4 linked regions of the Stegostoma tigrinum genome follow. The protein of the gene in region 3 purifies or fractionates together with the protein of the main gene of each other region. This does not show direct contact. Links are inferred from orthologs where the notes say so. Each region holds a gene or a part of one and is shown on either strand. Other genes may lie near its edges. The genes, in order: map3k7, rnf216, ripk1l and chuk.

Evidence for each region.
Region 1: the proteins of ripk1l (region 3) and map3k7 purify together in Homo sapiens (affinity purification with western blotting; 5 studies listed by BioGRID, with this or other methods). This does not show direct contact. The link is inferred for Stegostoma tigrinum from reciprocal best matches to the Homo sapiens genes RIPK1 and MAP3K7.
Region 2: the proteins of ripk1l (region 3) and rnf216 purify together in Homo sapiens (affinity purification with western blotting; 3 studies listed by BioGRID). This does not show direct contact. The link is inferred for Stegostoma tigrinum from reciprocal best matches to the Homo sapiens genes RIPK1 and RNF216.
Region 4: the proteins of ripk1l (region 3) and chuk purify together in Homo sapiens (affinity purification with western blotting; 3 studies listed by BioGRID, with this or other methods). This does not show direct contact. The link is inferred for Stegostoma tigrinum from reciprocal best matches to the Homo sapiens genes RIPK1 and CHUK.

What each region holds. Positions count from the first base shown.
Region 1 is NC_081357.1:54,993,824-55,001,305, forward strand, and holds the start of map3k7 (mitogen-activated protein kinase kinase kinase 7), read left to right. Parts: upstream 1-4,465; 5' UTR 4,466-4,752; coding exon 4,753-4,827; intron 4,828-7,482. UniProt on the Homo sapiens protein: Serine/threonine kinase which acts as an essential component of the MAP kinase signal transduction pathway. Plays an important role in the cascades of cellular responses evoked by changes in the environment.
Region 2 is NC_081376.1:11,500,479-11,507,924, forward strand, and holds the start of rnf216 (E3 ubiquitin-protein ligase RNF216), read right to left. Parts: upstream 3,022-7,446; 5' UTR 2,807-3,021; intron 1-2,806.
Region 3 is NC_081355.1:12,792,587-12,799,728, forward strand, and holds the start of ripk1l (receptor-interacting serine/threonine-protein kinase 1), read right to left. Parts: upstream 3,019-7,142; 5' UTR 2,922-3,018; intron 1-2,921. UniProt on the Homo sapiens protein: Serine-threonine kinase which is a key regulator of TNF-mediated apoptosis, necroptosis and inflammatory pathways.
Region 4 is NC_081390.1:13,731,702-13,739,535, reverse strand, and holds the start of chuk (inhibitor of nuclear factor kappa-B kinase subunit alpha), read right to left. Parts: upstream 3,023-7,834; 5' UTR 2,844-3,022; intron 2,234-2,843; 5' UTR 2,182-2,233; intron 1-2,181.

The sequences.
Region 1 (7,482 bases), on a different chromosome or scaffold from region 3:
GCATGTGTTTGCATCAACTAAACAGATATCCCTGAATCACTTGCTGAGAGATCTTCCAGAACATTTTGTCTTCATTGATAACTAAATTGACTCAGTTTCCTTGTTACTATGTTCATTAGGTGATAGATTTTTATATCTAGATGTTTTATTTCATGCTTCTCCTGTGGTGGCAACAGAGATAGGACATCTGCTAATCACTATTTATCTTCCTGACTTGTATTTCAGAGTGAAGTGATGACTCTCAAGCCTCAAGGATAACCTTTGGAGTCCTGCAGGAACTCTGATTATTTTTCTCGCATGTGTTCCACTGGACAATGATTATTCTTCACCAAGACATTTTTTCCATAGAGCTATGTATGAAATTTTTTCACATGCATATGTGACAACCAAAAGCTGTAGGCTGGATTTTATATGCCTTTCAATAACAGGGCGCAAAACCTGCAGCTTTCAATTATAGAGACAAAAAGTCCTACTTCACTTGCTTGAGAATAGATTGAAGATGCGAGACGGTTCTCTTTAGATCTGATAGAAGTTTGCAAAATCATAAGCAGGCTAAATAGAGTGGACAGGGAGAAAGTGTTCCCACTCATAAAAGAAACAAGAATGAGACGGCACAGATTTAAAATGATTTGCAAAAGTAGCTATACTGCCTTGAAGCCTCATGGAAGCACGTTCAATTGAGACACTCAAAAAGACATTGCACAATTATGTGCAAGAATATGAGGAAAAAGTAGGAGATGTAAATGGTGCTCATTTTAAGAGCTGATGCAGATGTGAATGGCCCAACAGCCGCCTTCTGCACTGTAGTATTTATCTGCTTTAGACGTTCCTAGGCTGTGGTGACTGGCGGGACATCTGGTGTAATTCAGAACGAAACAGTCATCTAGGTTTTTTCTAGTTGCAACAGACTCGACTGTTAATTATTCACAGGGATTTTTATTCCATCTGAGCCTGTGATGAATGCTTGGGCTGTTTCAAAAGGTTATGAACCACTATTTCAGCTGTATACGCATGACGGCCAGTTGTGAGAAAATATTGAGGGCTTATCTATCTTTGATGGGATAGTGGAAGTGATGTTTATTCCGACAATCAATTGACTGCCTGAAGGGATCTAATTTTTTGGAAAGGTAAGTTTTTTTCTTTTTTCCCCTTTTTTATTTCCACTGTTATGGGAAGCATCCTTACCACTGATAATGTGCTAATTCCATATTTTTTGATTATAAAGGTGGAGTAACTCCACAGAGGAAGAGAAGATTTTCAAGTGAAATTGGATTGTTGAGTTTTTTTTTTAAGATCCTGAGCTGTTTCCGTGGTGTGTACTGGGTGAATGCCTCCGGAGGATACTTGAGACATATGGGAAGTGTGACAAAGCAAGGGAAACTTGAAGAACATGGAGGGACTCTGGACTATAGATGATATGAAAAGAATAAGGAATCTGAGGGGTTATAGAGGTGGCATGTAGTGGGTGGACAGTACGACATGAAGGCTTAAGTACCTAACATTGATCATTAACACAGGACCGATATCACAATAAATGGAAGTCTGCATTTGAGCCTGTCAGCCTGGCATCAACCCAGCTTCATTGCTACCCTGGGAAAGCATGTCCGAATCCATTTCATCACTGGCTAGCCAGAAAGAAAATGCAGAAGGTAGAGATGAGACTTCTCTGTTACATTCCCAGACATTTTTCCAATACTCAAGCAAAATGGTTAGAACCCATGACATCCCCATAACATTGTACTGTACATGTTCAAGATGCCAATTGGCCTTGGCTCAAAGGGTAATTCTCTTGCCTCTTAGGCTGTAAGGTTCTGGACTCAAGTCCCACTCCAGAGCTTGAGCATAGAAATTAAGATACTCCAATCTGTACTATCAAAAGTATTTTAGATAATATTTGATTTATCGTCAACATCACAGAAAGGTTATTTGGTTACTATCACATTTTTTGAGTTAACTGTACAGTGATCATCACCTTGTTTCCTACTTCACAGAGTTTCTACAGTTGGAAAACTACTGCATTGACTAGTAAGAACTCTGAGAAGTCCAGTATTTGTAAAAGGTGACTTGCAATTTTACTCAGATAACAAGGCGTAGAGCTGGATAAACACAGCAGGTCAAGCAGCAGAGGAACAGGAAAGCTGACGTTTAGGGTTACTGTACTTTTCTGCAGGTGATTGTTGAGAATCTAATTCCTAAGCCTTGATAACAAAGTGTGGAGCTGGATGAACACAGCTGGCCAAGCAGCATTTCAGGAGCACAAAAGCTTATTTTTCAGGCCTAGACCCTTCATCAGAGAGGGGGATGGGGAGAGGGTTCTGGAATAAATAGGGAGAGAGGGGGAGGAGGACCAAAGATGGAGAGAAAAGGAGATAGGTGGAGAGGAGAGTATAGGTGGGGAGGGGACAGGTCAAGGAGGCAGGATGAGGTTAGTAGGTAGGAAATGGAGGTGCGGCTTGAGGTGGGAGGAAGGGATAGGTGAGATGAAGAACAGGTTAGGGAGGCAAGTGCTACACTTGCCCCTACACCTCCTCCCTCACCCCCTTCCTAGGCCCCAAGATGACTTTCCATATTAAGCAGATGTTCACCTGCACATCTGCCAATGTGGTATACTGTATCCACTGTACCCGGTGCAGCTTCCTCTACATTGGGGAAACCAAGCGGAGGCTTGGGGACCGCTTTGCAGAACACCTCCGCTCGGTTCGCAACAATCAACTGCACCTCCCAGTTGCGAACCAGTTTAACTCCCCCTCCCATTCCTCAGATGACATGTCCATCATGAGCCTCCTGCAGTGCCACAATGATGCCACCCGAAGGTTGCAGGAATAGCAACTCATATTCCGCTTGGGAACCCTGCAGCCCAATGGTATCAATGTGGACTTCACAAGCTTCAAAATCACCCCTACCCCCACTGCATCCCAAAACCAACCCAGCTCGTCCCCCGCCACTGCATCCCAAAACCAGCCCAGCTTGTCCCTGCCTCCCTAACCTGTTTTTCCTCTCACCTATCCCTTCCTCCCACCTCAAGCCGCACCTCCATTTCCTACCTACTAACCTCATCCCACCTCCTTGACTTGTCCATCTTCCCTGGACTGACCTATCCCCTCCCTACCTCCCCACCTATCTTCTTTTCTCTCCATCTTCGGTCCACCCCCCCCTTCCTATTTATTCCAGAACCCTGTCCCCATCCCCCTCTCTGATGAAGGGTCTAGACCCGAAACATCAGCTTTTGTGCTCCCGAGATGCTGCTCGGCCTGTTGCGTTCATCCAGCCTCACATTTTATTATCTTGGATTCTTCAGCATCTGCAGTTCCCATTATCTCTGATCACAATTCCCAAGCCTTGCTGGCTTGAGCTAATAAATGGTAAGTTGCATTCATACAACAAAAGTGCCAGGCAACAACCATTTCAAACAACTGAGTAAGAACTTCCCTTTGACATTTGATGGCATTATCTTACCAGGCCACCAATGCCCACGCCAACCAATATCTGAAGAAGGGTCTAGGCCCAAAACGTCAGCCTTCCTGCTCCTCTGATGCTGCTTGGCCTGCTGTTTTCATTCAGCTCTGCACTTTGTGATCTCCAATCAATGTCCTGCTGTTTTCTTAACCGGGAACTGAACTGAACTATTCATACTGTGGCCTTAACAGCAGGTCAGATGGGAGGAAACCTGCAGCAAGTAATTCACCTGCAAACCTCCCAGAGCCCTGTCCATCATTTACAAGTCAGGGGTATGACAGGGTACTCCCCACTTGTCTGTGAATGGGTTCAGCTCCAACAACACTCAACTAGTAGCCACGCCAAGGCAGCCCGCTAGGGATTGGCACCATATCCACAAACATTCAGTCACTCCACCACCGAAACTCAGACGTTTTGCTGGAATAAAATGTTCACTTTCACCACGGCAACTGATGGCCGTTTATTCAGTTTGAAGTGAAAAGTTCCTCGGCGAAACGAATGAGCTGGTGCAGTAAGTGCAAAACGATTATGCGACAAAACAAATAACTAAGGCCGCTGGAGATCGTAACAACAAAAACAGAAATTGCTGGAGGTACTCGGCAGATCCCACAGCAGCAAGAACAGAAGCTGCTGTAAAAGCTCAGCAGGTCTGACAGCATCTGTGAACGGAAAATAAAACAAGAGTTAACGTTTCGGGTCCAGTGACCGTTCCTCAGATCCGGCAGCGTCTGGAGAGAGAAGCAGAGTTTGTGCTCACAGTCCGGGTTCATCGGAGTCCTCATTTGAAACGATGCTGACAGCCGGTGAGGAAAAGGTCGCTTTAAATCAAGTTCCGGCTTCGCCGGTTATAAAAAAAACTTTCAAATTTAAAATTCACGCGCAGCGATTCCAAGCAGTGCTGCGCAGGCGCGGATGTTGGAATGGCGAGTAGGTCACGCAGGCGTAGTAGGAAGCTCTTTTACCGTTGCCAGTACTCCGCCCCACCCATCCGTCCTCCCTGGGGACGGCGGTTTCTCTGGATCGCCCGTGTGTCTCTGCCACTAGTTATCCCTGCGTTCGTGTAGAGCGTCAGTTCCGGCGGCAAGCCGCTTTTCCCCGGATGTTTGCGGGCTGGGATTAACCCCGGAAATGCCGGACGAAGCTGGTGGGAGCGGAGCGCTGCAGGAATCGCGGCCCGGCCTCGGCGAACTCCGCTCCTGACACCGGCGGCGAATTCGAGAGGCCGAGTGCGGCGGGCGGCCCGGCGGCTTGCGCCAGGGGCCTGGGGTTGACCGCCCCCCACTGCCGGCTGTAGGGATGTCGGCGGAGATCATCGACACCCCCCCGCTGCACTTCGAGGAGATCGACTACAATGAGATTGATGTGGAGGAGGTGAGGCAAGAGCCGGGGTTGGGGGGGGGTGGGGTGTTGTTGCTTTTGGGGGAGACACCAAACCAGGGGAGAGAGTCAAGTATTAGGCCCCAGCGTGGGGAAGGGGAGCGAGCCCTGCCCGCAACACCCTGCCCCCAGTCTCGTCCGTTTTGTTTAAGAGAATAAGGAAATGGGTTAAAGTCCAGATCATTTAGATGGATTGTAAACACGTTAGTGAAGGGTACATCTCGTGCTGTCTGATGTCTTCTGGTAATCTCATACTGTCTCTCTCTGGTGCATTGGAGTATGTGAGAATTGTGGAGAGTTTTATTGTTTTTTGAGTTTTTTTTAAATTTGAACGAGAACTTTAGTCGTTTGTGCATCCTAGTACCCCGCCCCCAACGTAAGACAGTTCGGAAAAGAGTGGCTACAAAATTTGAATTGTTTAACTGGGATATACTTATACTTATTTATTTATATTCCTTGTTTTTCTTGAAAGCTTTTGTTTATAAACTCTGTATAAACATGATCAGAAATTATTTGAATACTTTCCTCGTTATGGCAAACTGATTTCATTTCTTCCCCAGCAACTTGGTGTCTAAAGTAAAAGTTTAAATTCTGTCTAACTTGCTGCTAATATATGCACTTGCAGTAAGGAACTACCAGGCTATAACATTTGCTCCTGTTGATTTTCCAGGATTCTGAAGGTTGATGTTTTTGGTGAACTTGTAGATTACCAACTAATCTTTAGTGTAGATAATTAACTTTTTGTGGGGGAGAAATGACTTCCCATTGCATAATGAAGAAAGCTATGCCAAATTTTGATGGATCTTCAGCCTTCCATTTTTAACAATGTAACTGTTTCAGATTTGGCTTTCTTTTTTTGAAAATGCGATTGCAATATTGCTGTAACTGTAGAGATTGCATTAACATCTCCCTTTTAGTCAACCAACAAATTCTTTTGTTCTAATCCATTGTACAGATGAATGTGACTATTTTAAGTGAGCATGATGTGCACTTATCTACTATATTGTGATAGGTGAATGTGGATTTCAGTTACTTTGGTATTTAAATTAGCATAGAATTAAATAAAAAGTAACTGACTCTTAGGATGAAAGATCTGTTTCTATGTTGTATTGTATATTATACTATCTCAAGTCAATGAGAATCCAGTTCAAGGTATTTTTAAAAAAAACAACCTGTTGAGAGATGTTATACACAGCCCTGGAACAAGTGGGACTTGAATCTGGCACAGATTTGGGATACTGCCACTTAGCCACTACATTTTGTGACACTGGACATTGTGAGAATTTCATTTGTACCTTTGAAAGTATGCAATGAATTTGATTTTACTTAAAATTTACAACCAGCATGAATTAAGAAAAACTATCCTAAAATTCTAAATGTTTCAAACCATTTTGATGTAATTAAGACTGAAAACAGTGGCAGTAGAATTTGACTGCAGAGCCCAATCCAATAATTAACCATTGTGGGCTTCCAGCAGAGGTCCCTGCAATGCAGTCAAAGAAGCAGGAATCCCTGGGCTGTCATCTGTCTTGTTCCTAACTGTGATCCAGTAAAGAAACCTGTACAAGTAAACTGACTGAGAGGATGGTTACAAAATCAATCAAATGATTGGAGTTAATTGAGCAGATGCTGTGGATTAAAAATATGATCGATCTTGTCTTCACATATTCAATTTTAGAATATATTGAATTGTTCAGTGTCCAAACTTCCATGAGCTTGTAAAGCCTTTTTGTTAAAGTAACAAATGAAGACCTTAAACTTGATATTGAAGCTTCATTTGATGTTCTCTCTCCAATGAAATTATTCTCCAAGGATGACATAAATGACGAAATACTTTTGATCAATGTCATGTTGGAGGGAAATATAAACAAATTGTGCAGGAGCTTCCTCCTGTTAATAATTGGAAAAGAGAACATTGTTTAAAGAGGTGATTTCAAGAGCAAGAACAATTCCAGATTTTCTTGATTAGCACATTCAACTTGCACAATAGCTTTGGATCACTATCTGAAGAGCAGAAATTTGCAGCACTGAAAGGAGCAGGCAGTGGAGTAATACAAGTTTAATTTTTTTGTGTAGAGTTGCTCGAGACATGACAGGCCCAATGACCTCCTTCTGTGCTGCAACCATTGAATGATTCTTTGAATTATCCTTAAAATGTTAAAGTAAATCTAGTAACTTATACATCCCATGTGCTACACACATCAGCCTGAAACTAGGTGGGAATGTGACTTGAGACGCTTCAAGCAGATTTGGAAAAGCTAAGTAAGTGAGCAAAAATATGGTAAATGAGATATAATGTGAAAAAACCATGAAAGTATCCACTTTGGTAGGAAAGAGAAATGCAGAACATTTAATAAATGGTGAGAGATTTAGAAGCGTTAATGTCTAAAGGAGTCTGGCTGTCCTTGTCCTTAGGTAATTGAAAGCTAACATGCAAATGCTGCAAGCATTTAAGAAGGCAAGTAGAATGCTGGCCTTTAATGATAGTTGATTTGATTGCAGGAGTAAGTGTTACCATGATTGTTTTATAGAGCCTTCCTGAGACCACACCTGGAGTATTGTGTACAGTTTTGATTTCAGTTAGTGGAAAAGATATATTTGGCATAGAAGAAATGCAAGGAATGTTCACCAGACTGATCCCTGGGATGA
Region 2 (7,446 bases), on a different chromosome or scaffold from region 3:
GGTTACCAATAGCTAAAGTAAAATAACAGCTAGATGCATCTGAAAGGAGATCAGAATACACCAAGGACAAAACTTTGTAAACCAGCAACGGTACTATTGAAGGAGAGTGTAGTGGAGGCTGCTTTTTTATTCAAGGAACAAAGCAGTACTTTTTATTTTGATGACAAACGACGTCATTTGCAATGAGCACAGCAAACGAGAGAAAAAGGCTTAGCTGTTTTTGCTGGTGCTGCTTGAAGAAGAAAGGTTGGCCATGAAACTGAAAACGGTGACATAAGAAACCTTTCAATCTGACATGTAGAGAAACTAGCTGGTACTACTGAACATGCCAAAAGATAAAGTGAAAGTCAATAGAGCTAACAGCACCTTAACCATTGCCCAGGATCAGCCCAAGACCCAGCAAACCACTCCCCAATCCCTGACACCCAAAAGCACTCCCCACACCTCAAGGTGGGGAAGGAACTGGCAAAATTTAACAAAATGTGACCTAGTTTTTCACCAACCACCTGTTTCTGGATTTTACAGAAAACAGAACAGAAAAATTTTCTAAATAAAAACAGGAAATGCTGGAAATACACAGGTCTGGCATCATCCTTGGAAAAAAAAACTAACTATATTTTAGATGCTGGCCCTTCTTCAGATGCTATCTGAACTGCAGAGTATTTCTAGCATTTTGTGTTTTCTTTTTCAGATGTCAACATCCATTGCAGTTTGCTGTAGGAGAATCTCCTGTTTCTTTCTGAAGAGTTCTTTCATGCCCACTTGAAAAGGTTACTGACTTTGGTTTTACTGTCTCATCCTGCAACTTCCCTCAACATTATTTTGAAAAACTTATACACTCAAGTCCTGAACTCACCTCTGAATCAGAAGGCTAGAAGACTATCATTACGCCAATGTAGGCAGTTACAAATTCAGAAAATTCAAGTAAATGTGACACCCAAAGTCTCTGGCCTGAGTAGTGATAAAGAGAGGAGGGATGGCCTTGGCCAGAGACTAAAGAGTTGTGCATGAGAGGATACAGGGCTCAGGAAGATTCCAGTAGCAGGAAAAATTCCATAGACATGGAAAGCATCTCATCAGAGTGGATATTTTTAATTCAAGCCTTGATAGCATGCATTAGGAACTATTTAACTGAAAACATGAGTAGCATTCTGAGCTGGTAACAAATCATCTTTCTTCACAGAAGCTTTCTAAAAAGCTTAAGTGTTTCCAGTACTTTCCACTTCAATACCCAATCTTCTCAAACAATCTCTACGATACAGGAACCCAGGCTGATTTTCCCCCTCCAAATCCATCAACACCCAGGCTAAAATAACAACTTAAATAAAACAAAGAACTGTGGGCACTAGAGATCTGAAACAAAAACAGAAAATCGCTGGCGAAACTCAGCCTGATAGCATCTGTGGGGAGAAAGCAGTTAACATTTCAAGTCCAATGACTCTTCAGAGAGAATGAGTTCCAATGAAAAGTCACTGGACTCCGCTTTCTCTCCATAGATGCTGGCAGAACTGCTCATTTTCACCAATTTTCTGTTTTTGTTAAAGTAACTACTTTGCTGCCTCAGAAGATAAAGTCTAAACCTAGGATCCTCCTGTCTTAAATGTTCAGCTACATACAATAAACAAAGTGTGATGTGTTCCAGTTATGACTATGGCATTTCCATCCAACAGAAATTCTTGCATGTGTTTTTCAGGCACATCACAGCTTCAAGTCTGGCTGTCAATTATGACTCAATAGAGGAGTCATTTCAGCTTGAAAATGTGACACTCCTGTGAAGCGTGGTGAGCTGCTTGATGCAAAGCAAACTGCACATGGTTCCAAGCACCTTTCATTTAAAATATCTTCAGAACAAAGCCAGCATATGGTGTTGTGATTTGCCTCATGATCAAAATTTCCTTGCATAGAGAAAATACACTGACTGAAAGGCAATGAATTAAATCTGATTACCACATGAATATTTCATGCCTGGTGAGTTAATTAAAAACATCGATGCAGGAACTGCATATATTTTATGTAAAAACATGTGTTGCCATTGCCAACATTTATTTTTTCATCCTTGAACATATATGTATGACTTTGAAAAAGGTCAGGTACCCCTATAGCAAGTAGCTAGCCACCTCCAAAGGAAAGCCCTCTGTTTTTAAATGTGGAATCTCTGAATTGTTTTTGGGCAAACATGAACTTACTCGGAACTTGGGAGGGGGAGGCAAGAGGAGGATTAAATAATAGCAGATGGGCTCAAATGTCATCACCACATCAGCTGAACTAGGACAACAAAGTAAAACTACAGATTTGCCACTTGTGTCAAAACATCCCCAGCCCCCATGTTACACTGCACCATTTCCAACATTAGACATTTGTTAAAAACACTGACAGTATCACAGCAAAGGTGCTTAAATCAAAATACTGTACAGTTTTTTGGAAGCAAAAAAGTGAAACCTTTCCCTCTACCTTCCAACGTGTTGCCCAATGGCCTGACAATCTACTGAACATATCAAACATGGAGGTGGGGGAGAGAGAGAAGGGGGTGGTGGGGTAGGAGGCTGTTGGGGGAAGTGGTCTGGGGGTGTGCGGGATGGGGGTGTGGAGGAGTGAGGTCCGGGGTAAAGAGGTCTGGGAGTGAGGGTGTGGGACAGCGAGGTCTGGGAGCAGGGGATCGGTGAGGAGTGGGTGGGTGCGGATACAGGTCGGGGTGGGATTGGGGCTGGGACTCATGGTGAAGTTGTCTTGTTGCTGTCACTGTCCCTGAGTGAGAGGCGGACAGTCCCCGAACAGGGCGCGGGGGTCAGTTTCTCGGGTCTCTCACCAACTCTGAGGCTGTTGAGCAAGAGGCCGGACTCGGAGGTGACTCCCTCGGTCGTTTGCCGCGGGCCGGAGGTCAGCGCAGACGGAGACGATGCTTTCAGGTGGTCCGACTACCGTGCGTTGTCCCTGTGTACTCTCCTACCGACAGCCTGGTCTCCCATAGCGATCCGCAAGCCCAGGCCCTGACTCCTCTCAGCCTGCAACCTCCAAACACAGGAACTGACGTGCTAGCGTCGCCACGTTAACCGCCTGACGGCAAACGTAACCACGCGGTGGATTGTGGGAGTTGTAGTCCCAGGCCCGTTTAGTCAATATCAGAAATCACACAACACCAGGTTACGCTCCAAGAGGCTCATTTGAAAACACAAACTTTCAGAGCTTCTCTCCTTTTTCAGGTGTTCTTGAGAGACGTAGTATCAGACACAGAATTTATAAGAAAAAGATCAAGGGATTACGCCTCTAATCAGGATGTATTAAACAAACATAAGATGCTGTCAAATATTTAATGAGTTAGAAGCTTTTAATTGATTAATATATATATGTAAATCCCCAATTCATTTAAAGTCACTGTCCTAAGAGAAACCTAAAGGTTTTATCGGTGTAAAGAAGAGGTAATATTTTAGGTCATGTTGCGTATGAAGCTTTGTTTAGAATCTGTTTATGTTTTGGTTTGGAATCAGACTAGTTTTATTTCTAAATTAGGAAGGAATTCATAAAACACCAGATTGACTTTCTACAAATTGTGTGCTTTTTGGACAAAATAGACTGTATCTGCAAATACAAGTTCACAACATTTACCACATAGATTTATGTGTGTGAGGGAGAAGAGAGAGTATGTTAGTGAGTGTGAGTGAGTGCGCCCGCATGCTTGAGAGACAATGTATGAGAGAGGATCATGTGTATGTATGTGTGTGTGTCTGAGAGAGTGTGTGTGGTGTGTGTGTATGTGTGCGCACTTGGAGTGTGTGCGCGTGTGAGAGAGACTGTGTGTGTGAGTGTGAATGTATGCATGCGTGCGTGTGAGAGTGTATAGAGTGGTGGGGAAACCTGTAGTGCGACATGAATCCAAGATCTCAGTTGAGGCCATCTTCATGGGCACAAATGAGGAAGGGCCACCAGACCTGAAACATTAACTCTGTTTTTTACCCTTCACAGATGCCGCCAGGCCTGCTGAGTTTCTCCAGCAACTTGTTCCTAATTTACAGCATCGCAGTTCTTTTGGCTTTTTTTTCATGGGTACCAAACTTGGCTATAAGCCTCTGCTCAGTGACTCTGCGTTGTTGTGTATCCCGAAGTCTGCCTTGGAGGATGTTTACCTGAAGATCCGAGGCCAAATGTCCGTAACCGCTGAAGTGCTCCCCCACTAGGAGGGTACATCCCTGTCTGGCAATAGTTGCACACTGCCCATTCATCTGTCGTCGTAGCGTCTACATACTTTTGCCAATATGCCATGCCTCGGGGCATCCTTGCCTGCAGTGTGTGTGACAGACAATGTTGGCTGAGTTGCATGAGTATCTGCACCAGGTGGATGGTGTTACCCTGTGTGATGGTAGTGTCCATGTCGATGATCTGACATGTCTTGCAAAGCTTGCCATGACAGTGTTGTGTGGTGTTGTGATCGATGTTGTCCTGAAGGCCGGGTAGTTTCTTGCAAACGGTGGTCTGTTTAAGGTTTGGTGGTTGTTTGAAGGTGAGAAGTGGAGGCGTGTGGAAGATCTTGGCGAGGTGCTCATTGTCATCAATAATGTGTTGAAGGCTGCAAAGGACATTGTGTAGTTTCTCCACTCCCAGGAAGAATTGAATAACGAGGGGTATCCTAGCCACTGTATCCCATGTCTGTCTTTTGAGGAGGTCATTACAGTTCTTCGCTGTGGCACATCAGAACTGGCGATCGACGAATTGAGCATCGCATCCTGTTCATATCGCGGGAATGGTAGGTTTAACGTACGATGAACGGCTAAGGATCCTAGGATTATATTTATTAGAGTTTAGAAGGTTGAGGGGAGATCTAATAGAAACTTACAAGATAATGTATGGCTTAGAAGGGGTGGACGCTGGGAAGTTGTTTCCGTTAGGCGGGGAGACTAGGACCCGTGGACACAGCCTTAGAATTAGAGGAGGTAAATTTAAAACGGAAATGAGGAGACATTTCTTCAGCCAGAGAGTGGTGGTCCTGTGGAATTCATTGCCACAGAGTGCAATGGAGGCCGGGACGTTAAATGTCTTCAAGGCAGAGATCGATAAATTCTTGGTCTCAGAAGGAATCAAGGGCTACAAGGAGAGTGCAGGGAAGTGGAGTTGAAATGCCGAGCAGTCATGATTAAATGGCAGAGTGGACTTGATGGGCCAAATCGCCTTACTTCCACTCCCATGTCTTATGGTCTTATGGTATGAGGGTGTCCTTCAACACCTTCAGGTTCCGTCTCGTTCCTCCTCAATTGAACAGATTCTGTGTATGCATAGGACTTGTCCGTAAGGGATGGCTGTTTTAATATGTTTAGGATGGAAGCTAGAGAAGTGCAGCATTGTGAAGTTATCCATATGTTTGTGGTAACCTAACCTATGGGGTGAGCTTGTATTTGCAGAATCATTCTATTTTGTTCAAAAAGCGCACAATTTATAGTCAGTCAATGTGGCATTTTAACAATTCCTATTTTAGAACCAAAACCAGTCCGACCCCAAACCAAAACGCAAACAGATTCTAAACAAGGCCTCACACGTAACATGCATTGTCTGACCCAAAATGTAACCTCTTCTTTAGTTCTCTGAGAATAGTGACTTATAAGGAATTTGGAGATTTACATACACATATTAATCAATTAAAACCTTCCAGCTAATTAAAGATGTAACAGCATCTCAAGTTTGTTTAATACATCCTGACCAGTGGTGTGACCCTTTGATCTTTTACTTATAAATTCTGTCTGATACCACCTCTCTCACCAACACCTGAAAAAGAAGAGAAGGTTCCAGAAGCTTGTGTTTTCAAATAAGTCTGTTGGACTATAACCTGGTATTTCTGACATTGCTCACCCCGGTCCAACAACAGCACCTTTGCATCACTGCTACCTGTTCAGTCAGTCATTCCTGCAGGAAGAATCACAACAAATCAAGGGAAAGTCACTGAGAAAGCAAACACCATCAGCACAACTAATGGGAATCATAATAGAAAGGAAACTAAAATCAAGTAAAAGCACAGAATTGATAACAAACCACAAGCACTGAAAGATGGTGAGAAATCATCAGTCAACTCCTTCTGTTCTCACAGATCCTACCTGACTGTTCATTTGTTCATTCAATGTGGATAACACTTTCAAGGGTAACGTTTGTTACCAATCCTCAAATGCCCTGGAAATAAAGTAGTTTCGGACTCAACCACATCACTGAAGATCTGAAGGCACAAGGTAATTAAAACAGATTTCCTCCCTGAACCAGATGGCTGTTTCTCTTTGTCATAGTCACAATTATTAGTTATAGTTTTATTATTACGGCTAGTCACTCTAGCTGGCCTGGTGGGATTTGAACCCACAATCCCAGTAGCCTCAGTTGCTGCACTACTAGTGCAGTGACAATACAAAACCTCACCGTGTTGCCCAGCTTTCAGGGGGCTGGTGGGTGGGTAGCAGATGGCCTTCATTTTCTGTTTTTAGACTTCCAGCATCCTTACTGCATTTAACATTTTAGTTGAAAATTTCATGAAAAATCAGATAAGTAGATGAGGTAAAGTGGATTATAAGGATTGTGGTACATGAGATTCATGTAAATTACAAAGATATAGCTGATCATATAACTGTATCATTAGTAAGGGAGAAGGCACTTGTCGAGAATGAGTGCGTCAAGGGACAATTCTTGGACATTACTATAGGGAGCTGTATGCTGTGTACATATGTAAAAAATGTGTATGTCCGTGCATACAGAGTTGCATAAATATAAATAAGGGAGTCTTGCAGTAGACAAGAGTTAAAGAACCTTATTTAGACATGAGGAAATAAACATTAGCAACCAGGGATAGTCCAGACAGCTATCTCAGTGTGCAGTTAGCAGTAAAAGCGTAAAGCACAAGATTTAAAAGATAAGATGAAGTGAGGTGGCAGGAGGCTTAGTAAGGAGCATGAAACCAAACTGCTGTTTGGCCAAATAGCTTTCCCTCGTGCTGTAAAATTCTTTGCAATATAATTCTATATCTTCTCCAACATAATGACCTCCGTAACACTATCTATTCCTATCTTTGCCTCAGTTCATCTGCTGCTGAAACCCTATTGTTTGTGTTTGAACTCAACTAATCCAAAGCTCCTCTGGTCAGCCCACTGTAAACTTGAAGCCACTCCACAAGTTAACATACACCAAGCACCAGCCACCTGACAGGATTTGTCTGCTTGCTAATATAGCTCCCCGGGTATGACACCCTGTGGCATTGGCTGCAGCTGCACTGGCAAGGTGGGCCCGAAACAGACTCTTCATGGTAAGGCCAGTGTGGTAGCCGGCATTGGTGGCGTCTGCTTTGGCGAGATCCAGCAAGGGTTCATCGTGGAGAGATGGTGATGGAAACAAAGAGTTTTGACTTTCATTCCAGCACCACGGCAAAGGGACTCAAGCCTGGTCACCAGGCCATGACCCATGGCAAAGCACTTAGCAAGAAGGACT
Region 3 (7,142 bases):
TCTCAGGAGCCTTAGTGAATTTCTGCAGTATTGCTTATAAATGCTCCAAACTGCTTCCAAAGGTCAGTAGTGGAGGGAGTGACTATTTGTGGATGTGGTGTCAATCAACTGGGCTGCTTTGTCCTGGATTATACCAAACTTCTGGAGTACTGCTGGAACTCCCATCACACTCCTACCTTGTCCTTCATAGATGGTGGAGAGGCTTTCAAGTATTAGGTGCTGAATTGCTCACAGGAATCCTAGCCTCTGACCTGCTGTTGTTGCCATAGTATTTATATGGTTAGTCCAGTCTAAATTCTGAACAATTTTAACCCCCAGAATGTTGATATTATGGGATTCAGTGATGATAATGCCATTCAATATAAAACAGCAACATTAAGTTCTTTCTTATTGGTGATGGTCATTGCCTAGCATTTGAATGGCACGAAAGTTTCTATCCTCTTGTCAGCTCAAGCCTGGCTATTGTTCAAGTCTTACTGCATTTGAACATGGACTGCTTCAGCGCCTGAGGCATCGCGAACAGTGCAATGTTCAGCACTATCATCAGCAAATATTCCCACTTCTGAGCTTACGATGGAGAAAGATTATTGATGAAGCAAGCTGGATCGAAAACACTACTCTGAGGGGTTCCTGTGGAGATATGCTGGAGTTGAAATGATTGACTTCCAACAATCACAACCATCTTCTTCTCTGCAAAGTATCATACCAACCAGTAGAAAATGCTCTGTCTAATTCCACCAAACCTAGTTTTGCTCGGTCTCTTTGATGCCACACTGTAGAAAACACTTTCATCTATGGCCTGACACTGCCCCAAAAGGAAGCAATTTGGACAGTTTAACATTGCTTTAGTACTTTCGCTGGAAGATCAAGCTAGACCATGTGCTTAGGTTTCTGGAATGAAGCGTCAAGTCACGATCTTCTAACATGATAAGAAATCAGGAGTAGGCCACTTACCAAGAAGCCTGTTCTGCCATTCAATTAGACCATGACTGATGCAATTGTAGCCTTCACTTTATTGACTGCTCCCAACACTTTGGTCAATGAAAAATCTCTCTAATTCCAGGCGCTAGTCTATTCAATGTCTCAGCCTCCAAAGCTTTCTGGAAGAGAATTTCTGACATTAAATACCTTCAGCAGGAGAAATTTAACCTAACCTCCATCATAACTGGACAGCCCTATCATTTAACTGTGTCTCCTGATTCTAGATTCTATGCAAATAGGAAGTGACCTCTCAGCATTTAATTTACCTCAGATTCCAATAAATATAGGTCAAAGCAGCCCAACCTTCATTCCCTTGGACAGGTTAGATGCACGCAGAAGGTTTTCCCTAGTTGGGGAATCTAGAACCAGTGGACAGAGTCCCAGGATAAAAGATAGGCTATTTAGGCCTGAGGTGAGAAAAACTTTCCTCACTCAAAACCCGTGGAACTCCCTCCAGCAGAAAGCTATGTCGGCCAACTGACTGAGTATATCTGAGACTATGGCGGATTCCATTGCGATTTTAAAGGCACCTAAAGGGAGAACATAGAACATTACAGCGCAGTATGGGCCCTTCGGCCCTCGATGTTGTGCCGGCCTGTGGAACCAAACTGAAGCCTATCTAACCTACAGTATTCCATTATTATCTGTACGTTTATCCAACGACCATTTAAATGCCTTAAAGCTGGCAAGTCTACTACTGTTGCAGGCAGGGCATTCCACGCCCTTACTACACTCTGAGTAAAGAATCTACCTCTGACATCTGTCCTATATCTGTCACCCTCAATTTAAAGCTATGTCTCCCCGTGCTAGCCATCTCATCCAAGGAAAAAGGCTCTCACTGTCCACCCTATCTAATCCTCTGATCGTCTTGTATGTCTCTATTAAGTCACCTCTTAACCTCCTTCTCTCTAACGAAAACGAGAGGAGAAAGTGAGAATATAGCATTGAGATAAAGGATTAGCCGTGGTCATACTGAATGGCACAGAAGGTTCAAAGGGCTGAATGGCCTACTATTACTCCTTGTTTCTATGATTCTTTGTTTCAAACCAGAAATCTACCCAGTCAACTTCTCTAACTGCTTCAAGCAGAGACTGCACACAGTATTCTGCCCACATGATAAGTCTGACACTAAATCTACCGATTTTATTTTGAAGTTAGAACATTTGAACATATTCATTTACACAACAAGTCAACATCACATAACTTGACTCTGCTGAAAGTTCAGAGGAAGCAAGTGGATCAGGTTAGGCCAATACTGAGATGGTTCAAATCAAAGTAAAACCTGTTCGCACTGTCAGTGAACAAACAACTCACACAGTTAGAGGGCTACAAGAGGGTGGTTAAAACAGCGCATCTCCAGTCTCTTCGTAGTTTGATTTCAGTCGACAGAATTGATGGGGAGTGGATGGAAAGAAGTTGTGTTTGGGAAATCGGAAGGGGTGGTTGTAAGAGTTGTGCTTGGGCAGGAGGGGGAGAAGTTGATTGGTAAATGGAGAGATTGTGGTTTGCAGAGGAAAGGAAGGAGTTGGAGGGGGTAGCGAATTGTGTTGGGCGAAAAGCAGTGTTTTTGGGGAAGAGGGGTTGTGTTCTTGGCTGGGGGAGGGGGGGTGCGCGTGGAAGGGTCGTGATTCCCAACATCTCACGAACTGTAGAACAGAAACTGGCCGCGGAGCCCGAACTGTCCCTTGCCCAGTAAGTCGCCATTACATTCAGCGGAAAGAGAACGTCGGCGCCACCTTTCCAAGTGCTAGAGTCGGCAGGAAGGGCCGAATAGCCGCGGGCACAGTGAGGGAGGGGGTTTCTACAGGGAAATCTCTGCAGTTCTCGGTATCACTCTTACAGCCCGGGCGGAGTGAAAGCTTCGAGCCTCCTGAACCCTCTCCCTGGGGGATGTAGGGAATAGGCTCTCAGTCTGTTCACCTTCTTCCTGGTGTCCTTACCTGCCCGGCCTGTCCTAGGGAGATCAGCTACATTGCTCTTTCCGCGTTGTTCTTTCCTGCCTACATCCTCTTCCGTGTTGCAAAACAGCCTTCGAGCGCCGCCTATTTGGGAAATACCCTGTAACAAGATCAGCTGCAGCACCTCGTGTCTTAATGTCGAGCAGTTGTTATAAAGTCGTGTGAGTCTGTGTATCTCAATTTTTTTTGACATTTTGTTCCATTAAGACCAGAAAGCTATGCATGTGCATTTCATGTTAGCTCGGTTGTCTGCAAGTTCTGTAGATGACTTCAGTGCATGGAAACACATTTGCAGCTTTCATTTGGTCAGGAAATGCTTACCCCCTTTAAGTTCCAGTAAAAGCAGATGTTATCGATATCGTGATAATGGGAACTGCAGATGCTGGAGAATCCAAGATAACAAAGTGTGGAGCTGGATGAACACAGCAGGCCCAGCAGCATCTCAGGAGCACAAAAGCTGACGTTTCGGGCCTAGACCCTTCATCAGAGAGGGGGATGGGGAGAGGGTTCTGGAATACATAGGGAGAGAGGGGGAGGCGGACCGAAGATGGAGAGAACTGGGCTAGTTTTGGGATGCAGTGGGGGAAGGGGAGATTTTGAAGCTGGTGAAGTCCACATTGATACCATTGGGCTGCAGGGGTCCCAAGTGGAATATGAGTTGCTGTTCCTGCAACCTTCGGGTGGCCCAAAACCAGCCCAATTCGTCCCCTTCCCCCCACTGCACCACACAACCAGCCCAGCTCTTCCCCTCCACCCACTGCATCCCAAAACCAGTCCAACCTGTCTCTGCCTCCCTAACCTGTTCTTCCTCTCACCCATTCCTTCCTCCCACCCCAAGCTGCACCTCCATCTCCTACCTACTAACCTCATCCCACCTCCTTGACCTGTCCGTCTTCCCTGGACTGACCTACCCCCTCCCTACCTCCCCACCTATACTCTCCTCTCCACCTATCTTCTTTTCTCTCCATCTTCGGTCCACCTCCCCCTCTCTCCCTATTTATCCCAGAATCCTCACTCCATCCCCCTCTCTGATGAAGGGTCTAGGCCCGAAACGTCAGCTTTTGTGCTCCTGAGATGCTGCTGGGCCTGCTGTGTTTATCCAGCCTCACATTTTATTATCCTGTTATCGATATAGTTCAAGTTGAGCGGTGACGATGTTTACCCGCCCACTGTCCTTAATTGCACCATGTTGTTTAAAAACTCTTAAACTTCTGATAGCTTCCCAGTGCTGATTGAGGTCTAGCTACACCATCGCTGAGACCTGCCTTGTAGTTAAAAGCGTTGCAGCCAGCACATTGGTATCCTGTAAAGGAGTTTGTGACCCTGAGGTTCCTCATGGGGTCTGAAGCAACTTTAGGGGATGGAGGACAGTCAGCAGCAGAGGAACCAACTCCGTTAGTTTCTGAAACCTCCCTGGACAGTACGTGGTTTCCAGTGAACATTGCAAGGTGTGGAAATCTACCCGTGATCAGGAGTAGTCTGGACAGAATAGAGGGAGAAACCATTCCCACTAGCGAGAGAATCAGAAATGAGAGGGCGGGGATTTAAAGTGATTGGTGAAAGAAATAAAAGCTCCATATGCTTTTCCACAGAATGAGTGATCAGGTTCTGGAACATCTGTGTCTGGGTGTGCTGCATGCAAGTTCAGTTGAGGCATTCAACAGGGAATTAGACAGCTAACTGAAAAGGATGAGTGTGCAGGGTTCCAGGGAGAAGGTGGGATATAGGTACTGAGTGAGTCGTTCATTCAGACAGCTGCTGCAGACAGACTGGTAAGAATAGTCACCTATGCTCTAATTCTGTGAATCAAAGGTACAGTTCCTGATGGCAATAAGTATCCCTTACCCCAACTCCATTCCATCATGCTGCTTGGCCTGCTGTGTTCATCCAACTCCACACTTTATATGGTTAGTCCTGTTCAGTTTCTGGTAAGCCCCAGGATGATGATAGTGAGGGATTCAGTGATGTTCGTGTCAGTGACTGTCAAAGACGATGGTTAGATTCTGTATTGTGGAAAATGGTCATTGCCTGGCATTTTTATGGTGCAAATGTTACTTGCCACTTTTCAGCCTTAGCCTGGATATTGTTCATGTCATTATGCATTTGGACATGTACTGCTTCAGTATCTGAGGAGTCATGACTGGTGCTGAACATTGCACGATCATAGCAAACATCCCTATTTCTGACTTTATGATGGAGGAAAGGTCATTGATGAAGGAGCTGAAGATAGTTGGATGAAGGACACTATCCTGAGGAGCTCCTGGAGCTGAGATGACTGAGTTTCAACCACCATAGCCTCTTCTTTTGTGTCAATTATGACTCCAACCAGCAGAGTGTTTCCCTCTGATTCCCACTGACTCCAGTTTTGTTAGGGCTCCTTGATGCTGCATTCAATCAATTGTTGCCCTAATGTCAAGGGCAGTCACTCTCATCACAGCTGAGGTTTAGCTGTTTTGCCCATGTTTTCACTCAAGCTGTAATGAGGTCAGGAGCTGAGTAGCTTTGGATGAATCCAAAGTGGGCATCGTTGAGCAGGTGCTGCTTGATAACACTGTTGATGGCACCTTCCATCATTTTTTTTGGTGATCATGAGTAAACCTAGGGGACGGTAACTGGCTGGTTTGAATTTGTCCTGCCTTTTGTGTACAGGACATACCTGTGTAATTTTCCACATTGTCTGGTAGGTGGCAGTATTGTGGCTGTATTGGACAGCTTTTTCAGTGATATCAGAGATAATAGGAAGTGCAGATGCTGGAGAATCCAAGATAATGAAAGTGTGGAGCTGGATGAACACAGCAGGCCAAGCAGCATCTTATGGCAAGTTCTGGAGCACAAGTCTTCAGTACTATTACTATAACGTTGTCAGGGCCCTGCCGTATCCACTGCTGCCACTTGTTTGTTGATATCACGTGGGATGAATTGAATGGGCTGACGGCTGGCGTCTGTGATGCTGGAGACCACTGGAGAAGGCTGAGATAGATTGTCCACTTGGCACTTCTGTCTAAAGGCTGTTGCAAATACTTCAGCCTTGTCTCTTGCACTGATGTGCTGAGCTCTCCTATTATTGAGGATATATTCATTACAACACGAGAGGTCATTTAACTGTGGGGTAGAATTTTCCCAGTCCCTGAATGATGTGGACAATGGCAACTCAGTTAGAAAAATGTGGCGAGAATGGAAACATGAGATTCTCAAACTTAAGAAGAGTTCAGAGTTTGTGCATTAGGTCTCACTGGTTAGGTGAGAGGCTCACTCGTGCAATGTGAGGAGCCTAGTTGCAGGCATTAAATGTCTCTCTCTTTTTGCCTAATCTTTTTGTCATGCAGTTTGTCATTTTACCAAGGCAGCAGAGAGAAACCGGATGGTGACAATCCTGACATAATTCAGAATGGGTACCTCCTGGCGGCAGCTTACTGTTGTCTTCTCAAGGCCTGAATCCTGATAAGAATTCTCCAGCTTTGCGGGACATGCCCCACTAGAAGGGACTGCATGCATCCCAAATCCACGGAGACTGGCATTGGCCAAGCATCAGTCTCTCCATATCATTGTGCCATATCTCCGAATCACTTGGAATACAGTTCTACACTTCACTACGGCACTTTGGATCTAACTGACACCTTACAATGTGATGCTGCTGCCAGGCCACTTTGTCCACAGGGACTGGCACCCATCTCCTGCATCAGGACAGGGTGCAGCTCAGGGTTCTTAGCTTGCTTTATTCATGTCCGTTCTCTTGCCTAATTGTATGGTCACAGCATCTCTGGCTAGCCTTGCCAATTTTCACATTGCTGCCTCATTCAGGACCCACAGGGCTCACAGTACATCTGTCCTGTCTTGCCTTTCAATGCAGGCTGAAAGCCAGGCAGCTGGTTGCGGTTGTCAACTGTGAACGGTCAAGGGGATGGTCATGTCACTGGATGACATCTTGCTCTGTCTAGGCTACACCTGCTCCATATGCCAGCAGCTAACACGGCAAACACAAGTTTGGCACAAGCTGTAGTTCTGGGGATAAAGACATGGAAAATAGGCACAGGGGGAGGCCATTCAGCCCTTCAAATTTACCCCACCTGCATATTGAAGTCCTTCTTAATTAGTCTAATAGTGCCTTTTTTACATGTCTTTTCTATCTCCTGATTTATTTTCTTACCCACATCCTGACTACCATTAGGGTTAATAGTAGACAACAGGGGAAAAGTGGACCAG
Region 4 (7,834 bases), on a different chromosome or scaffold from region 3:
CTAGGGAACCAATAGTTTGGATTAGGTTGATGTATTTGCCTCTCTATACATAGGATACTGTCATTGACCTGACTTTTCATGGAGAGACAGAGTTTTTTCAAGCAAGTGGTTTGCACCAAAATTCCACCAATACAACCAAACCTGCTTGATTTTTTATTTCTGGATACAGGCCAATGGACATTTGCTTGCATTCTCATGCAACTGTAGATAATTCAGCCACATTTAGTGAGGGAAGTTGCACTCTGTAAAGTTTAGAAGGGCTTTCATGTTTGCAAAAACTCAGCTTAAAAGTTTCTTTTCTCTTGAACCCCTTTGCACACAAACAAACACAAAACCTTGCTGTTAATGTTTCCTTGGTCATGTAAAGTTTGGCTATGAAGTTCTTATTTATTATTTCAATTTTTGTTGCATTTTACTCATCCACAGTACAAAAGAACAAATTTATGTTTGGTTAGTCAGTGTTAATTGTATTAAGTTTTGAGAAGTATGTCCAAATTAATTTGAGTATCACCATATGTAATTTTTGCCACATGCCAGATTAGACAGTATTTTAGAACAATGGTGATTTCTTCTATACTTGAAAGAATTCTTGATGCAAGAATGGCAACCTTGTGTAATTTGATTAACTGAGCTAAAATTATTTCACAAAAAAACTTATGCATTTTAATCATCCACAAACTAGTGATAACCCAATTTTAAGTAACTGAAAAGTATCTTAAAAGGCTGTATAAAATCATATGTCCAGTCATCAATTTCCCAGTAAATAGTAAAGGAAAAAGGTTAGAGCTTGATAGGAATGCTATTTCCAATCTTCTGCCTAATTTTATAGCCTTCTGAATGCATGCAACTTGCTGAAACTTGCAACTGTGATTAATTCAACATAACAGCATGGCTGTCTTATAAAGATGCTACTATTTCAGTTACAACAATAGATCAAGGAAATGGGAGTTACTCTGAACACAATTTAGACTTAAAATTCAACTACATTTTTATGTTGGCTTTAATTTGCCAATCAGCACTCTGCTCATGCAGTAAAAATGGAATTTTCCCTTCAAACTTGTATTTTTGTTAAATGTCCTGACCCAGCACAAGACTAAAAGTTTGACAAAATGTTTATTTTCAGCAAAGAAATCCTGCACTCAAACAATTAAATTGAAGATCAATACATTTTCCGAGGAAAGGTAATCGTATATAGTGACATGACTGGATGGAGGCAAGACAGAGATCAGCCATGAACTCACTGAAAGACTTGAGGGGTTGAATGGCAAACTCCCGTTCTTAAGTCCTGATAATGATAATAATAACATTATAATAACCAAGAAGGCACCTTCTGCTACATTTTCAGAGCCTTCAGTACATTTCCTGTTCAAACCATCTCTGAATTTATCTAATACATCCACTATGTCATATTGCTTGTTGGAGGACATAATTTGCACCAAATGTGACCTGGGTTTTTCCTTTGTAAATTTGAATATGAATGCATTACTTTTTCAAATCATTAAAGACAAAATGTGGGAAAAAACATAACTAAATGTAACCTGTAATTATAACAATTACTTTATTGAATCTCTACATAAACCTCACAAGAGCAAGAACATTTACAAAATTAAACTACAATATTAAAAAGGTGCAAAACCCAAGTCAGAAAGATATCATTTATTAACTTGTTCATCCCACTTCTTTCAATTACTAATAAATGTCACTTTTTGATGTATAAATTTAAAGGGTACATTGGACAATGCTTATACATTTACATATGAACATTAGGTTTTGTTGTGAAAATCTAAGCTATAATATATACTCCAAAGTCTTCAAATTTCAAATTTTGGTGCTTCCTTGCATAATGTGGAATTATTAGAATTAGAACTTTTCTTATCATCCTGCCCACAAACAGACATTATAACCTGTATATACTTGCTTTTATAGGACTCCATTACAATTATAAAAGTGCTGTAGATAGAGATAGCATTTAGGAGCAAAGGAGAAAAATCAATCACTGCTGCAGTGTTTTAAATGCCTCCTGTGGTCTCAAGGAATAAGAAGTGGACTTTTCTTGAAGCTACTGTCTGCCTCCCCTTGACATGGTTTGGACATCAGGCTTAAGACCTTTTCCAACATCGTGAAAACATACAAAATTTGCCTAAGTAGAGGAAAGAACTGGAAGGGTGCTCTTGACTATACCTTTTCACTTCATGATAATGGCATTCTTCGGTGTCTTTGACAACTGCAGCAACTAGAAAAAGCAGTACAGATCATAAGGCAATATAAATCAGGTGCATGCCCGACCATTTTGATCTTTGCTGTGATTATTTTTTGGCTCCAAATTCAAAAATTAGCAGATTCTTGTCTCAAAAATCTCTGAAAGAAAAATCATCCCCAACCTCCTTTAAGGAGGTGATCCAGTTTCAAAAATTTGACATGCCACTCAATCTAATGGACGAGCTGTAAACTAATCATTCGAATACCATACTGAAGTACTGATTAAAAATAAATGCCAGGATCTAATAAAACCAAGGGAAACCTGCCCATTTTAGCTAACATAAATCGACCTTAGGCCAAGTCCTGGCAAAAAGTTGATGGCATGACTATGACATCATACACACTAGTCTCAAAATAACCAGAAAATCTAAAAACATTTTTAAGAGAACCAAGAACAACAGAAAAATAAAAGTCTGCCATAAAAGTATGTTATCCAAACTATTTTCGCAAAGACACATTTTCCAATGTCATCAACTGATGCTCAACCGATTACAGACGCAAGTCATTCACGGCACAGTGACACTTTAGGCCTTAGTTTAAGGGAACTCCAACAGTCAAACCGGGGACTCCTTTACGAATCCTACCTTGCAGCCGAAAGCTAACCGAAGGAATCGCTTCCTGGAGGCAGAAATGATTAAACTGCGATGCGGAAAAACAAATAAAAACACGTTAGAAGTGATCACACTTTGCTTCTTTCATCAATCTTGATCAGAGACATTTCCCGCAACTGCGACACACAAGCGCGCCCGCGGGACGCCGGGAGTTGTAGTTCTTTCTCGATAAGACGCTACGCCTGGGCTTAGTGTGAAACCCCGCCCCCATGGCCTGGAGGGCCAGCCTCCGCAATGATTGACAGCTAGGTGTGTCGCGGACCTGGGGCGTGGGTGGCATCTTTTCACGTGCTCTCGCGGGAGAGTTGTGCATGGGGTGAAGTAACAAACTTCTCAACCCGAAAGCAAAAGTAAACAGACTGAGTGCTGATCAGCCTTTCCCACTTATAATTTGCTAGAAATCTGAAATTTTTAAATGTGTTTTGGAGAAACTTGATTAGTCTGGCAGCATCTATCATGTCCGTTTCAAGCACCGGCTGAGGTTACTATGAAGGACCCTCCTCCTCCAACTTGTCTCTTCACCTGAAAGGTGATGACCCTCAGGTTAAACCAACACCAGTCACTCCGTCGAATGACTAAACCTATGTGACTTTCTTCAGAACGTTTGCATTTTAATAGCTCCTTTCACGACTCCTGAAATGCCATCGTTCTTTATCATGAAGCACTGGTTCTTTTTATGTGTTGTCAACTGCTGTAATTAAGGAAACATGGCCACCAACTTCTTCACAGCAAGCTGCCACAAACATTCATGTAATAATGACCACATAATTTGCTTTACTGATAATGCTTGAGGGATCTATTGACCACGGACCATGGGAGTTTAACTTTCCAGAACCTTTCACACTTGCTCTAAATACTTTCAAGAGACCTACACCCCAAATGCAGTACATTTGCTACAGCGGATGAAGAAGGCTGCTCTCTATTGCTTCAACAGGCTCTAACATCCTGTGAAAGAATTTTTAAAACCTCCCCTTTGTTTTGTGGTCTGCTGCTTTGCAGCCAAGCTGTTACATGGAACATTGTGACTCATGAGCCAACATAACCTGAATTATCTTTGCAGTTGGAGATATTGCAGTGATTTTACAGCAGTGGCCAATGTTGTGGGACTATAAATAGAAAGCTATGCATGGCACAATTTCAAAATTTGTAGACAGCAAAAGACTTGGAAATGTTGTGAAATTTACAATTGGTCATGGGATGTGGCTGTCCAGGACACCATCCCAAATTTCTCTGAAGAAGGTGCTTATGAGCTGCCTTCTTGGACAACTGCATTCCTTGAAGTACAGGAACATCCACATTGCTGTTAGGATTGGAATTCCAGTATTTTGACTCAGTGACAATTAAGTAACAGCAATATAGCTTGGAGGAGAACTTACAGGTGGTGGTGTTCACATGCATCTATTGCCCTCATGATTACACAAATTAACTTTAAAAGTTTAAAGTATGACCTAACCAATGTACTTTAAACTGCATTTTGGATGCAATATAAGAGTCTCTGCAATTGTATGAAATGTTTGAGGATGAAAAAGAACGATCATTTCCTGGACATACCACAAATAAAAATTTACACTTCACATTGCTTCTCTACAATCTTTGAGCAATCCCTTTGTCTTTTTCCCTGTGATACCCTTCCCATCCTCTCCCTTTGCTCCTCTTTCCCCTTTTTTTCCAATGCATAAAATCATTTTTCCAGCTGCCCTCAATTCTGAAGAAGGCATTGTGAACTCTATATTAACTCTGTTTCTCTCTCCACAGACATCACCAGACCCGCTGATATTATCCAACATCTTACCCTTTTACTTCTATCGTATTATTTGTGTAGAATCAACTAGGTATAAACCATACTCCAGTGTTCCTAACCACTGTATTCTATTTATACAGTATATTTTGCTTTTGTAATGGTAAGTGGTACTTGTCTAAAATTGTTGTACAATATCTGGAAAGCATTTCACACCAGGAAGCATTGTTTTTGTTGATTACTGTAATAAATAGGTATTTTAGGACTCAGACAGTCTATGTTTAACTGCTGAAATTGTATACTAAAAATACTCTTGTCCATTTTGAATGTGTGGAGTAAATATTGTGTAGATTTCTTTTACTCAGTTTGTAGATATCAAGCTGAAAATCTGAAGATTATTGTAAAAAGTAACAAAATGACATATTTTCCACAAGTTATAATCACAGAACTTGCAAGTTTTGAGAAGATTTATAGCTCAGGTTGAGGTTCTGGATGTGAGTTTGCTCACTGAGCTGGAAGGTTAGTTTTCAGACGTTTCGTCACCATTCTAGATAACATCATCAGTGAGCCTCTGATGAAGCCGAAACTCACATCCAGAATCACAGAACTGGATAAACTAATGCATTTTTCTTATTGTCACATTGTTATACTCATTCCTTTTTTTTTCCAAGTTACAGGTAGCATAACCTCTCACATATTGCCTGCTTTCATGCAGCTGAGCTTCATATATCCATGGAGATGAGAATGCAACATTCCGATGAGAAATTCAAATTTGGTTTCAGCTACCCACTCAATCCCTTCTCTTTGACATTTCCTCAGGTTAACACTACATTTACATATGTAAGAATTACTGCACTTTTACCAGGATATGGAAGTTGTGATATGAGTTTGGACATAGTTAAGTGCTGAGATTTATGTAGATTCTCTCTAGCATTAGGTTTCGCCACTTCCCTCACGAGGTGGGAACTGTTCTTGCGCCTAGGCTGTAACCAAAATTGGTAAAATGTAATAGTGTTTGCTCCTATGATTAAATACAGGAAAGGTTTACTTAGAAGACAACATTTCCTCAACTTGAGCCAAAAAGATTTTATGTTACTGTCACTGATACAATTAAACCAGTACAATGCGAACTTATAATCTGCTGTTAGCCCAGATCCTGAAAACTTGTTTGAGATAAATTTTCTTTTGCTTTAAGTATCTTGGAAAAATAAACATATTTTAAAATTTCAGGTTTATACGCTTTCTACAACTCATGTGTGGGAGAATGATTAATCACCCAAATTGGGCGCGGTACTTCAATTTGTCTTCATAACAAAGTACTCATTTTGGTTAAATCTTGCCACACCTTTGTATTGGTTTGACTGAGCCCAGTCTGCAATCTAACCAAGATCTGCTGACTCCATACTGCAACTAGTAGATTTGGTCTTGGACATGTTACTGTAACTTTACTATGGTCCTTTGTGAATATGGTTTATACTTACTTACTAATCCCCAAATATGTACTCTCCTTTCTATGGAGACCGTGTGTCTGTATGTTGCTTCTATTCTGATTCCCAAGACAACAATAAAGTACTTATTCTAATATTTATTTCTGAAGTTTCAATATTATTTTATGAAGCTAAAAATATTATATGATGCAAATTACCCGAAAGACTATCTTGTAAAAACAACCTAGAGTCATGAAAACTTTTGAAGTAATAATAAATTTCAAGCACATCATGCTGTCACAGACTCACATTGGTTGTAAATGGCAAATGCTCTTATAACTAGAGAAAAATTCAACTGCTGAGTTTCAGATATATAGTACTCTAAAGCTTTTCACAGATGAAGTGCAGTGTGATGGAATGGATTTACTGTACATTTAGTGAGTCAAAGCAAATGGGCGATGGGGGTGGGAGGTCTTTTTGTTTTTGTTTTATCTCTGTCAGTTGCAAAGACCCCACCATTTACTACCCATCAGTTTTGGTGTTCTTACTTGAGAAAGGATGTACTGGCACCAGAAGGGTTGCAGAGGAGCTTCACTAGGTTGATTCTGGAGTTGAGAAGGTTGGCTTATAAGGAGGGATTGAATAGCCTGGGACTAGCTCACTGGAATTTAGAAGAATTAGAAACATTTAAATTATGAAGGGAATAGATGAGATAGAGGCAGGGAGGCTGTTCCCACTGGTGGGTGAAACCTAGGACAGGGGGCAAGCTTCAAAATGAGGGGCAGATTTAGGACTGAGATGATGAGGAACTTCTTCTCCCAAAGTTTGTGAATCTGTGGAACTCCCTGCCCAGTTAAGCAGTTGAGACTATCTTGTTGAATGTTTTGAAAGCAAAGATTGATTTTTGAACAGTAAAGGAATTAAAGGTTATGATGTGCGGTGGGTGGGTGGAACTGACCTTCACAAAGCCGGACATGAGCCAAGCATACTTCCAGTTGTGGTTAGATAAGGATTCCCAGATGTATGTTATAATTAATACCTATAATGATTTGTTCCAATATATGAGATTGCCATCTGTGGTATCGTCAGCTTGTGCAATTTTCCAGTGGATTATGAAGAACATTTTACAAAGTCCACCCCAGGTTGTCATTTATCTAGATGATGTGCTAATAATAGGGAATACCAGTAATTGGTGCTTAGAGAATTTGGACATAGTCCTTCAACTTTTCTCCCCGACAGGCTTATGCTTTAGGAGGGAAAACAGCGTGTTCCCAGCACCCTAAGTAACTTACTTGGGCTAGAGTTGAGAAGACTAGGTTACACCCTTTGGAAGATACATTGGGAGTGATCAAAGGTGCCCTGGCTGCCAAAGCTGTACCAGAGCTTAGGTCTTTCCTTGGGCTGGTGAATTATTACAGAAAATTCATACATTACCTGACCTCCATCCCAGCAGCTTTGCATCGACTCTTAAAAAACAAGCCTTGAAAATGTTTGAATAGCTAAACAAAAGCTTTCAGGGAATTGAAGAATCAGTGATCATCTTGTAAGGTGTTGGAACTCTAAGAGGGCTGTCACAATCAGAATTGAAACTTTTTTGAATCCAAAGAGACCAGATCACAATAGAAAATGGCATATTATTATGGGGAGCAAGAATGATTGTCTCAAGCAAAGGTCACTGCAAGATACTGGCTGAACTCCACCAGGGTCATCCAGGTGTCTCCAAAATGAAGATGTTGGTGAGGCATTATTGTCTGGTGCCCAGGATTGGATGCCCAGACTGCCAACAAGAACAAAGATTA